Linked DNA regions of Sus scrofa. The protein of the gene in region 1 purifies or fractionates together with the protein of each later gene. This does not show direct contact. Links are inferred from orthologs where the notes say so. Each region holds a gene or a part of one and is shown on either strand. Other genes may lie near its edges.

Region 1 (3,394 bases):
AGGAGGCCTTGTAAAGACTTGATTTTGGGGTGGGTTTTACCCACTGAGCAAGGCCGGGGATCGAACCCATGCCTTCATGAATACCAGTCAAGTTTGTTACTACTGAGCCACAACAGAAACTCCAAAGACTTGTGAACATACTTTTTGCTCAGCTTGTCTGCATAAGAAAGCTTTATGTATGAACACTGACAGCAAGAGGGTCTATTTCACCACCAGGTATTTAATCTGTTCTGCTTCTGAATAAGGACACAGTAGCAACACAGACGCCCCAGGGGGCTGGGCGGGACAGGCCTCACCCTCTGGGCCCCTCTGTGCTCAGGCTCAGCTGCCACCCACCCGTCCAGGGTACTCCTGGTGCAGGATGGCTTGCGTCTCCAGGACACAGACTCCTGCTCTGCCCTGGGATGAAGGCTTACGCTCATGCTCACCTGGCTTCAAAGAACTGACTAGGTCACTGCTGCAGGTGATGATGAAGCTACTGTGACACAACAGGACTGTCTGAACCTTGCAAGGGATGGGGCTTTGAAAAAAGAATGGCAACACTCCTAGATACATTTGTATATAAATCATGTTTTCACTTCCATAGCATACAAAAGGTATAAATATGATTCATGTAAAATCAATCGCCTGCACATTCAAGCAGAAAGTACATGAAGCTGGGGCATGTCTGTGAGCCAGGGTGGCCGGAGGAAGCAGGGTCAGAGGTCGGAGGCAGTTCCCCCCTCCCCAGCCTCCCCCCGGACACTTCACATTCTGGCAACTGGAGAGGAGTGGACAGCCTTCTGCGGTCAGCGAGGCGGTGCGTCAGATGGCACGTCAGGCCGCTGGGGTAGGAGGCTGGAGAGCTCGCACAGCAGTGAGGCACTTGAGCGAAGCAGGCCTGAGGGGGACCAACAGCGTCAGACTGAGCTGGCGGGGCTGGGCTTGCCTGTGGGGATGAGCCCAGGTCTCCTTCCTGCTGCTGCTGAGCTGCTGCTGGCAGGGAGCTGTGGCGGGGAGGGGGCAGAAAAGGAGCCCACAGCAGGGAGCCGCACCCCGGGGCTGGCCGAAGCTCAGGGCACGGGGCTCTGGAGCCAACCGCCACCAGGGCAGGGCTTCCCGCATTCTGGATCCTCAAGCCTCAGGCCCACTCAGAGGCTGTGAATGGGCACAGATTCGCGGGATTTGCCGGCAGAGGCTAAAACTCTTACAAACTCAGAGGAAAAGTGACACGATGTGCACAGATGAGCCAGGCCCCAGGGTGGAGGAGACCTCTCATGGAGAGGGGTCCCAAGCTCTTGACATCACACACTGTCCCCTCCCCTCCCAGGCGGCTGCAGGAGCTCAGCAGTGGGAGGCACTCCTGGCTGAAAATGATGAGGGCCGGGGCCAAACACCCAGCCTGAACTAAACTGTCACCTCCAGAGCTGCTGTGCCCGGCCTACACCAAAATTAAGACAAAGACGGTAAAGCTCTCACATTGCTCAGCACCAATCTGGCCATAGCCACTCCGGCTAAGGCTGGAGCCCGCCAGCTGGCCCTGGGCAGGGGAGACTTTGACATAGTGCCTTCCGAGCCCCATGGGGAAGACAGCAAGCCCTGAGGGGTGGGTGCCACATTCCCCCACAAAGCAGAGAGCCGAGCACTGCTCCCCGGGCCCTTCCCCACATGCTGGGTGGTCGACAAAGGATCACTGACATGATACCATGGAAACCGTGGTCCCCAACACACGGTACAAGCTACATGACAGTGGAGGCCAGGGCCCTCCTCATATCCCTTTTGGACTGTGGCTTCCTAGGGGCGGCCACCCCCACTCAGTGCCTTCACGACCTTGGACCCATCCTGGAAAATGGCCAGGCCCACACCTGGGGAGACTCCTGGGCAGGGCAGGGCCAGCCTGCTTCCCGCAGCACAGCCCCGCCTCCAAGGAGGGACCAGCCACGCAGGGATGAGCGGGGGAGACACCGTCTGGCCGCTGACCTGGATACCAAAGTAATTCAGGGAACTGGCCCTTTCTGAAAAGATCTTCAAGAAAAGAGACCCATGGGAGTTCCCGTTGTGGCTCTGCGATAACGAACCCGACTAGCATCCATGAGGACTCGGATTCGATCCCTGGCCTTGCTCAGTGGGTCAGGGATCCGGCATTGCCGTGATCTGTGGTGTAGGTCACGATGCAGCTCAGATCCCAAGTTGCTGTGGCTGTGGGGTAGGCCAGCAGCTGCAGCTCCAATTCAAGCCCTAGCCTGGGAACCTCCATATGCCGTGGGTGCGGCGCTAAAAAGCAAAAAAAAAAAAAAGAGAGAGAGGCCCGAGAACCTGATCATTAGAAAAGCTGATTCTGGCTGCAGGTTTCCAAGAACAGGACTCGGCCTCTGGAGGTGCAGAAGCTGCCGGGCAGGTGCTGGGCAAGCTCTCACCCAGGTTAGGCTGCGAGCCCCAGAGGAGGGGTGTACATACACGTGTACACACATGTGCGTGTGCACACTACGTGCTTTCAGGGGTCAGGCCCAAAGAGGCAGGCTGTCACTCTTCACATCCTGGGGCAAAAGCAAGGGTGCGGCTGCCTGTTCCGGAAAGCTCTGGGAGAGAAAGCCCAGGGCTGCTTTTCTCTCACTCACAGGCCAGCTTGCTGTCGAAGCTAGAGAGCCCGATGGCAAAGGCCTGAAGTGCACACAGCGGGTAGTTGTAGTCCAGCGTGAACACGTCGTCCGCCACGCGTCCAAACTGCATGACTATATAGTCGGCTAGAAGAAGGAAGAAATTAGGACGTTAGGAGGTAAAGTGCTTGTTCTGGGGAAAGGCCCGTCTTGGATGCAGACAAAGATCCTCCAAATAGTCAGTTAATCACCAGGTCTGTCTAAAATGGGAAACTTTTAGAAGGATGGACAAAGGCATTCACAAGAGTGGCTGCCAACCATGAGCAAAGTCTGTCCTGCAATTCCACTCAGGCCCAGGGCCCGGGCAGCAGGAGAGGGGCCTGCTGGGAGCGGCCAGGAGCCTTTACTGAAGAGGGGTCTTTGTGTCTGCTTCCCGAACAGCCTCCCCCTGGACTTCTCTGATTTGCCACAAGATCTCTCACACTCTCCTTCCCTCCTCGAGTGGTTCACAAGTTTGACTGTAAAACTGCAAACACTCTGTCTTTCCAAAGAAATCTGCTTTCTCAGATCCTTCTCTCCCAACTAAGGCTTCCCACCAGGGATGGGAACGCTCACTTCCTCCAATCCCCAGGCCACCCTTCCTGCGGGCTTACGGTCACTCTCATGGACGATCTGGAAGTTCTTCACAGAAGCCTGAGTGACCCGGCCATGAAAGTTCAGGACGTAGGACTGAGTGTCATCGTTCCAGACCGGGGACTTGTTGTGCAATTCAATCAAGTTGTCCATGGTTTTGTTCTGCCACTTTGAAAGCAGGCTCT
Region 2 (4,531 bases), on another chromosome or scaffold:
CAATGGAAGGAGACAAACAGCACTCAGAGATAGGGAAAAGCAAGGTTTATTCAGCACTGGTGCAGGCTCAGAGGAGTCACCTCCAGAGTCTGAGCACCAGGTCTTTGTTCTCAGTAACTTTTACACACTACAAGGTCTTGATTTTCCCATGTAAGCATCCTGGACCTCCCCCCCCACCCATCCCCAAGCAGACAGTGTTCCTTCCTAAGAAACTGAGCAAGCAAGGTTACAGAAGGAGAACTGATAAGCAATGCTGGGGGTACATGATTAGCAGGGCTGCTGGCTTGGACAGAGGGCACACAGTTGTTACATTATTACAAGAAGGGTGGTATAGTGAGGAACATAGCTGGAAAGGCTTGCAGCTGCCTTCTTAGCCAAGGGGGGGGGGTTGTTCTTTAGTTAAAACTCCATTTCAGGACAAGCACCTTGGTTTGTAGTATTCTGTGTTGCATATCAAGTGTAACATTAATCCACAGGCTTTGAAAATGAGACCAGCAGGCATTACCAGTTGCTTATCACCACAAACATTTAGCTTGACTATGAATGATGGAAACAAACAAAAAATCCCAGTCTTCATGAAAAAAATACATTCCTCTTTGAGTAGAATGCTCTTCTAAGGGAAAGCGGTGAGAAATATTGCCGAGCATTAAAGTCTGTGTTAGTAGTCATCCTCTCCTTCAAGGTTGTTATTACCTAAACTGCTGGCGTGAAAAAAGGTTAATGTTTGTTGATGGCTTAACAAACTTCAAGTCTGATTAAGCGACTACGAATAATATCAACCAAAGTAAGATAATTAGAACTAGGATTGGAATTTGGAATCTATGTAAAAGATTCTACAAAGATTAAACTTTAAATCTTATTTTTAAAATGTCTTTAAGCAGAACTAGGAAATCTCTTAGTTCATTATACGTTAATTTAATTCACTAAAATAACTGAAGAAATCTGTAAGCAACTGAAGGTTACCTGATCAATATAAACACAAACTTTTGTAAAGGGATTAATTTCATTCTTAGTTTAAAATTAGCAGTATTTTTAAAAACTGAAAAAATGTGTTTACTTAATTTGTTCCTCCCATTATCCGGGGTGGGGGAAAAAAGGACTAATTTAATGTGCATTTAAACAACAAACATGGGATTGCAGCAATGCCTGCAAAGATTGGCCCAAGAAGCTTCTCTTTCTGTTAAGAACGCGTGATTTTTCTGCGCCACCTTGTGGCCAAATACAATACTACATGTGAAAGGTAAAGGCTTTTCTCTTGAGAGGGTCAGGCTATCAAACAGCCGCATTGCGGGAACCTGTCTTTACACAAACGTGTAGAAAATGGTGCCTTCCTTTGTAGACTGTAATGGGAAACACTTGTACTTTTTCTATTTCCTTCGTTCTTTAATTCCTTACCCTCGGGCCCGCCCACCCGCGGTCCGCCGAAGGTCGTTTCCCTGTTTGACCTCCCCTTCCATCCCCAACATCCGATCCGGCCTCAACCCCTTCCACGTCCTCTGCGCTCCTCCGGGTCCCCGCCCCCGCCGGGACCCCGCAATCCCTGCAGCGAGGGCCCGCCCCCTCGCGCCGGCAGCCATTGGCGGCGCGACCCCGCCCCCCCCGCCCCTCCCTCCGCGTCCGGAGCGGGTTTGGGCCTGGGCGCCGCGGCTCTGAGCTCCGGTCTTCTCTGCTGGGTAGTGCTGGGCGCTCGCCCAGGAGGCCTGCGGCCAGGCCTCGGGGAAGCCATGGACTCGCAGGGGCTGCAGGTGAGCGGGCAGGACCTGACCGTGTGTTGCTGTAGGGGTGGCGAGGGGTTGGGGGGCTTGGGGAGCGCGCGGGCCGACTTGGCCAGGCCGTTGTTACCCTGCGGCGTATGCAGCCCAGGTTGGCGATCAGAGCCCAGGCCCGGGGCGCAGGCCTGTAACCTGGATCACCTGCTTCCGTCCGCCCCGCCCTGTAATCCTTAGGTCGGGATCAGTCTTCCCCGCGCGCTTCTTTCCGAATTGTCGTTACTGTGTTTGTCCCAGCCTCCCACTCTGTTCATTGTGTTTGCTTTTACTTTTGTACCCTGTTGGCTCGGAAGAGTTGGTCAACATTTGACTCAAAATCCCCCTCCCGGGTGCGGATTTTCTAGGACTTAGAGCATAGTAGTGCCACCCCCACCCCCCACCCCTGTGAGAAGGTAAAAGGAGCACGGAAACAGTATATGAAGTCAATTAAAGACAGAGGCTTGAAAATAGGGGAGTCTTTACTTGAGGGAGATGGTCTTCTCTATTTGTTTATCAATGATTCATCCATTCAGCAAATATTTAACGACTTTCCACTTAAGAAATGATGATTCGAAAGCAATTAAGGGCATGAGATTTAAAAATGAAAGTTACGTTTTAAGATGATATTTATTTAGTCACTGTTTCCCTTGTTCAATCCTGATGGAGGGCTCACTGCGTGTCCACTGGAGCTGGAGATCATGATGAACAGAATGGAATAGTCCCTGTCTTCACAGATTTTATAGCCTGATGCTGGAGAAAACCTTAATTGAATTAATTTAACAAATGTTTATTGAATGCCTCCTGTGTGCCTGGCACTATTCTAAGTCCTGAAGGTAATAAACCCTGCCGTAACAAAGCTAAGAAAAACCCTCCCAAATCTTTCTACATTTGAGTAGGAGGAGTCAGTCAGTAAACAGGTAAATAAAATGTGCACCATATTAATTGCTGATAAGCAGATGGAGGACAACTTGGCAGTAATGGAGAGTGCTGGAGTGTCTTTTGCTTTTTTGCCTGAAGTTTTACATCATCTTCCTGTGAAGACATCCCTCAACCCCTTAAGGATTTTCATCCCCTTAAATACATGCTTTGTACTGCCTGCCATACAAATTAAATAAACTTTTTTTTTTTTTTTTTTGCTTTTTAGGGCCACACCCGAGGCACATGGAAGTTCCCAGGCTAGGGGTACAATTGGAGCTGCTGCAGCTGCCGGCCTACACGACAGCCACAGCAACACTAGATCCTTAACAGACTGAGCAAGGCCAGGGATCGAATCTGCATCCTCATGGTTACTAGTCCGGTTTGTTACCATTGAGCCACAGTGGGAACTCCCCCAAATGAACTTTTTTAACAAAGACTTTCATGCTACAAGCTATTATTTAGCTCCTCATCACTTAGACTAGAGAATCAAGTCACTATGAGGTCCTTCTTGACCCTCGCTTTCTCTCCAATCTCATCATCCAATAATCTGTTTTCTACTTAAAACTCTAGGACAGGAAATGGCAAACTTTCTCTATAAGGGGCCGGTTAGTACATATTCAGGCTTTATGGGCCATAGAGTCTCTGTGGCATCGGATCTGCCATCATTGCATGAAAGCAGCCATAGACAATACTAAAGCAATTGAGTGTGGCTTTGTTCCAATAAAACTTAACTTAGACAAGGGAGTTTGAATTTCATGTAACTTCCACATGTTATACTTTTCTTCTTTGGCTTGTTTGGTTTTGTCCTCAACTGCTTGAACATGAACCAACTGTTCTTGACTTGCTGGCCATATCAAAACAGTCTGGCAGGCCAGACATGGCCCACAGACCATAGTGCACCCATCTCTTCTCTAGCGAACAGGATGACTGAGTCCTCTCTACCCCCACCCCAGCCCCTGTCTCATTGCTCATTTCTTACCTCTGTGTTGTTGCAGTTTCTGAATCATGAAAGAGGAATAGGAAGAGTCTGTATGTGTGGGGAGCAGGAGTTTGCAAAGCGAGTCAGTTCTGAAGTCCTCCCCAAGAATCTTTTCCTTAATTTTACTCTTCCACCCTCCCACACCCCAACCTCGTTCCCTTACATTCCAAAGGCAATTAATAAGTTCTTTCCTGGCATTTACTTTGTTAGACTTCAAATGGTCTTTAGATTTCTAGTCTCAGTTGAAAATTTTAAGCTTTTCTGGGACAGCATCCATATCTCACTCCCCTTCATATTCACAGCACCTAGCCCAGTGCCTGGCACTCATAGGCAGGCAGTGAATGTTTGTTGGACCAAATAGCCTAGCCTGATCCAAGGCAGTGGTTAACAGGTGCAGGAGTATGAGGTAGACTAGAGAAACAGAAGGACCTCCTGACTGATTAGACTTAGGGGGACTGACTATGCAAACAGGAAGAGAGGACTCCTGACTGGTGTCTGGCTTGGGTGGCTGGGCAAATGGAAATAAGAGTTGGAGCTGTGATGAGAGGTCTTGAACAGATATATGGTTTTTATGTCCTCAACATATGGGGTTTGGAGAAACATCCCCCCCCCCGGAGTTTTGGAGTATAATGTCTTAATTAATCCTCACAATGACCTATGAATGATCTAACAGCATTTTACAAATGAGCAAACTGAGGTGCTGTAAGATGAACCAGAAACTTGAAACCAGGTCTTTTCACTGTAAAAATCCATGTCTTTTTTGGTAATACCATCCCACTGCCTTTCTGGAGAGTTAGAGGAGCTTAGTGCTACTAAATGCTGGAGAGATGTCAAGTAAGATGATATTAAAAGTGTCCTTAGTTGTGGCAAACTAAGAGGTCACTTG

The links.
Region 2: the proteins of TULP3 (region 1) and TTC21B purify together in Homo sapiens (affinity purification with mass spectrometry; 5 studies listed by BioGRID and IntAct, counting the BioPlex papers as one, with this or other methods). This does not show direct contact. The link is inferred for Sus scrofa from reciprocal best matches to the Homo sapiens genes TULP3 and TTC21B.

Annotation. Positions count from the first base shown.
Region 1 is NC_010447.5:67,201,130-67,204,523, forward strand, and holds the end of TULP3 (tubby-related protein 3), read right to left. Parts: coding exon 3,230-3,394; intron 2,724-3,229; coding exon 2,598-2,723; coding exon of another isoform or gene 2,590-2,597; exon of another isoform or gene 881-2,589; coding exon 789-880; 3' UTR 551-788; downstream 1-550. UniProt on the Homo sapiens protein: Negative regulator of the Shh signaling transduction pathway: recruited to primary cilia via association with the IFT complex A (IFT-A) and is required for recruitment of G protein-coupled receptor GPR161 to cilia, a promoter of PKA-dependent basal repression machinery in Shh signaling.
Region 2 is NC_010457.5:72,509,562-72,514,092, reverse strand, and holds the start of TTC21B (tetratricopeptide repeat protein 21B), read left to right. Parts: upstream 1-1,589; 5' UTR 1,590-1,724; coding exon 1,725-1,745; intron 1,746-4,531. UniProt on the Homo sapiens protein: Component of the IFT complex A (IFT-A), a complex required for retrograde ciliary transport and entry into cilia of G protein-coupled receptors (GPCRs). Essential for retrograde trafficking of IFT-1, IFT-B and GPCRs.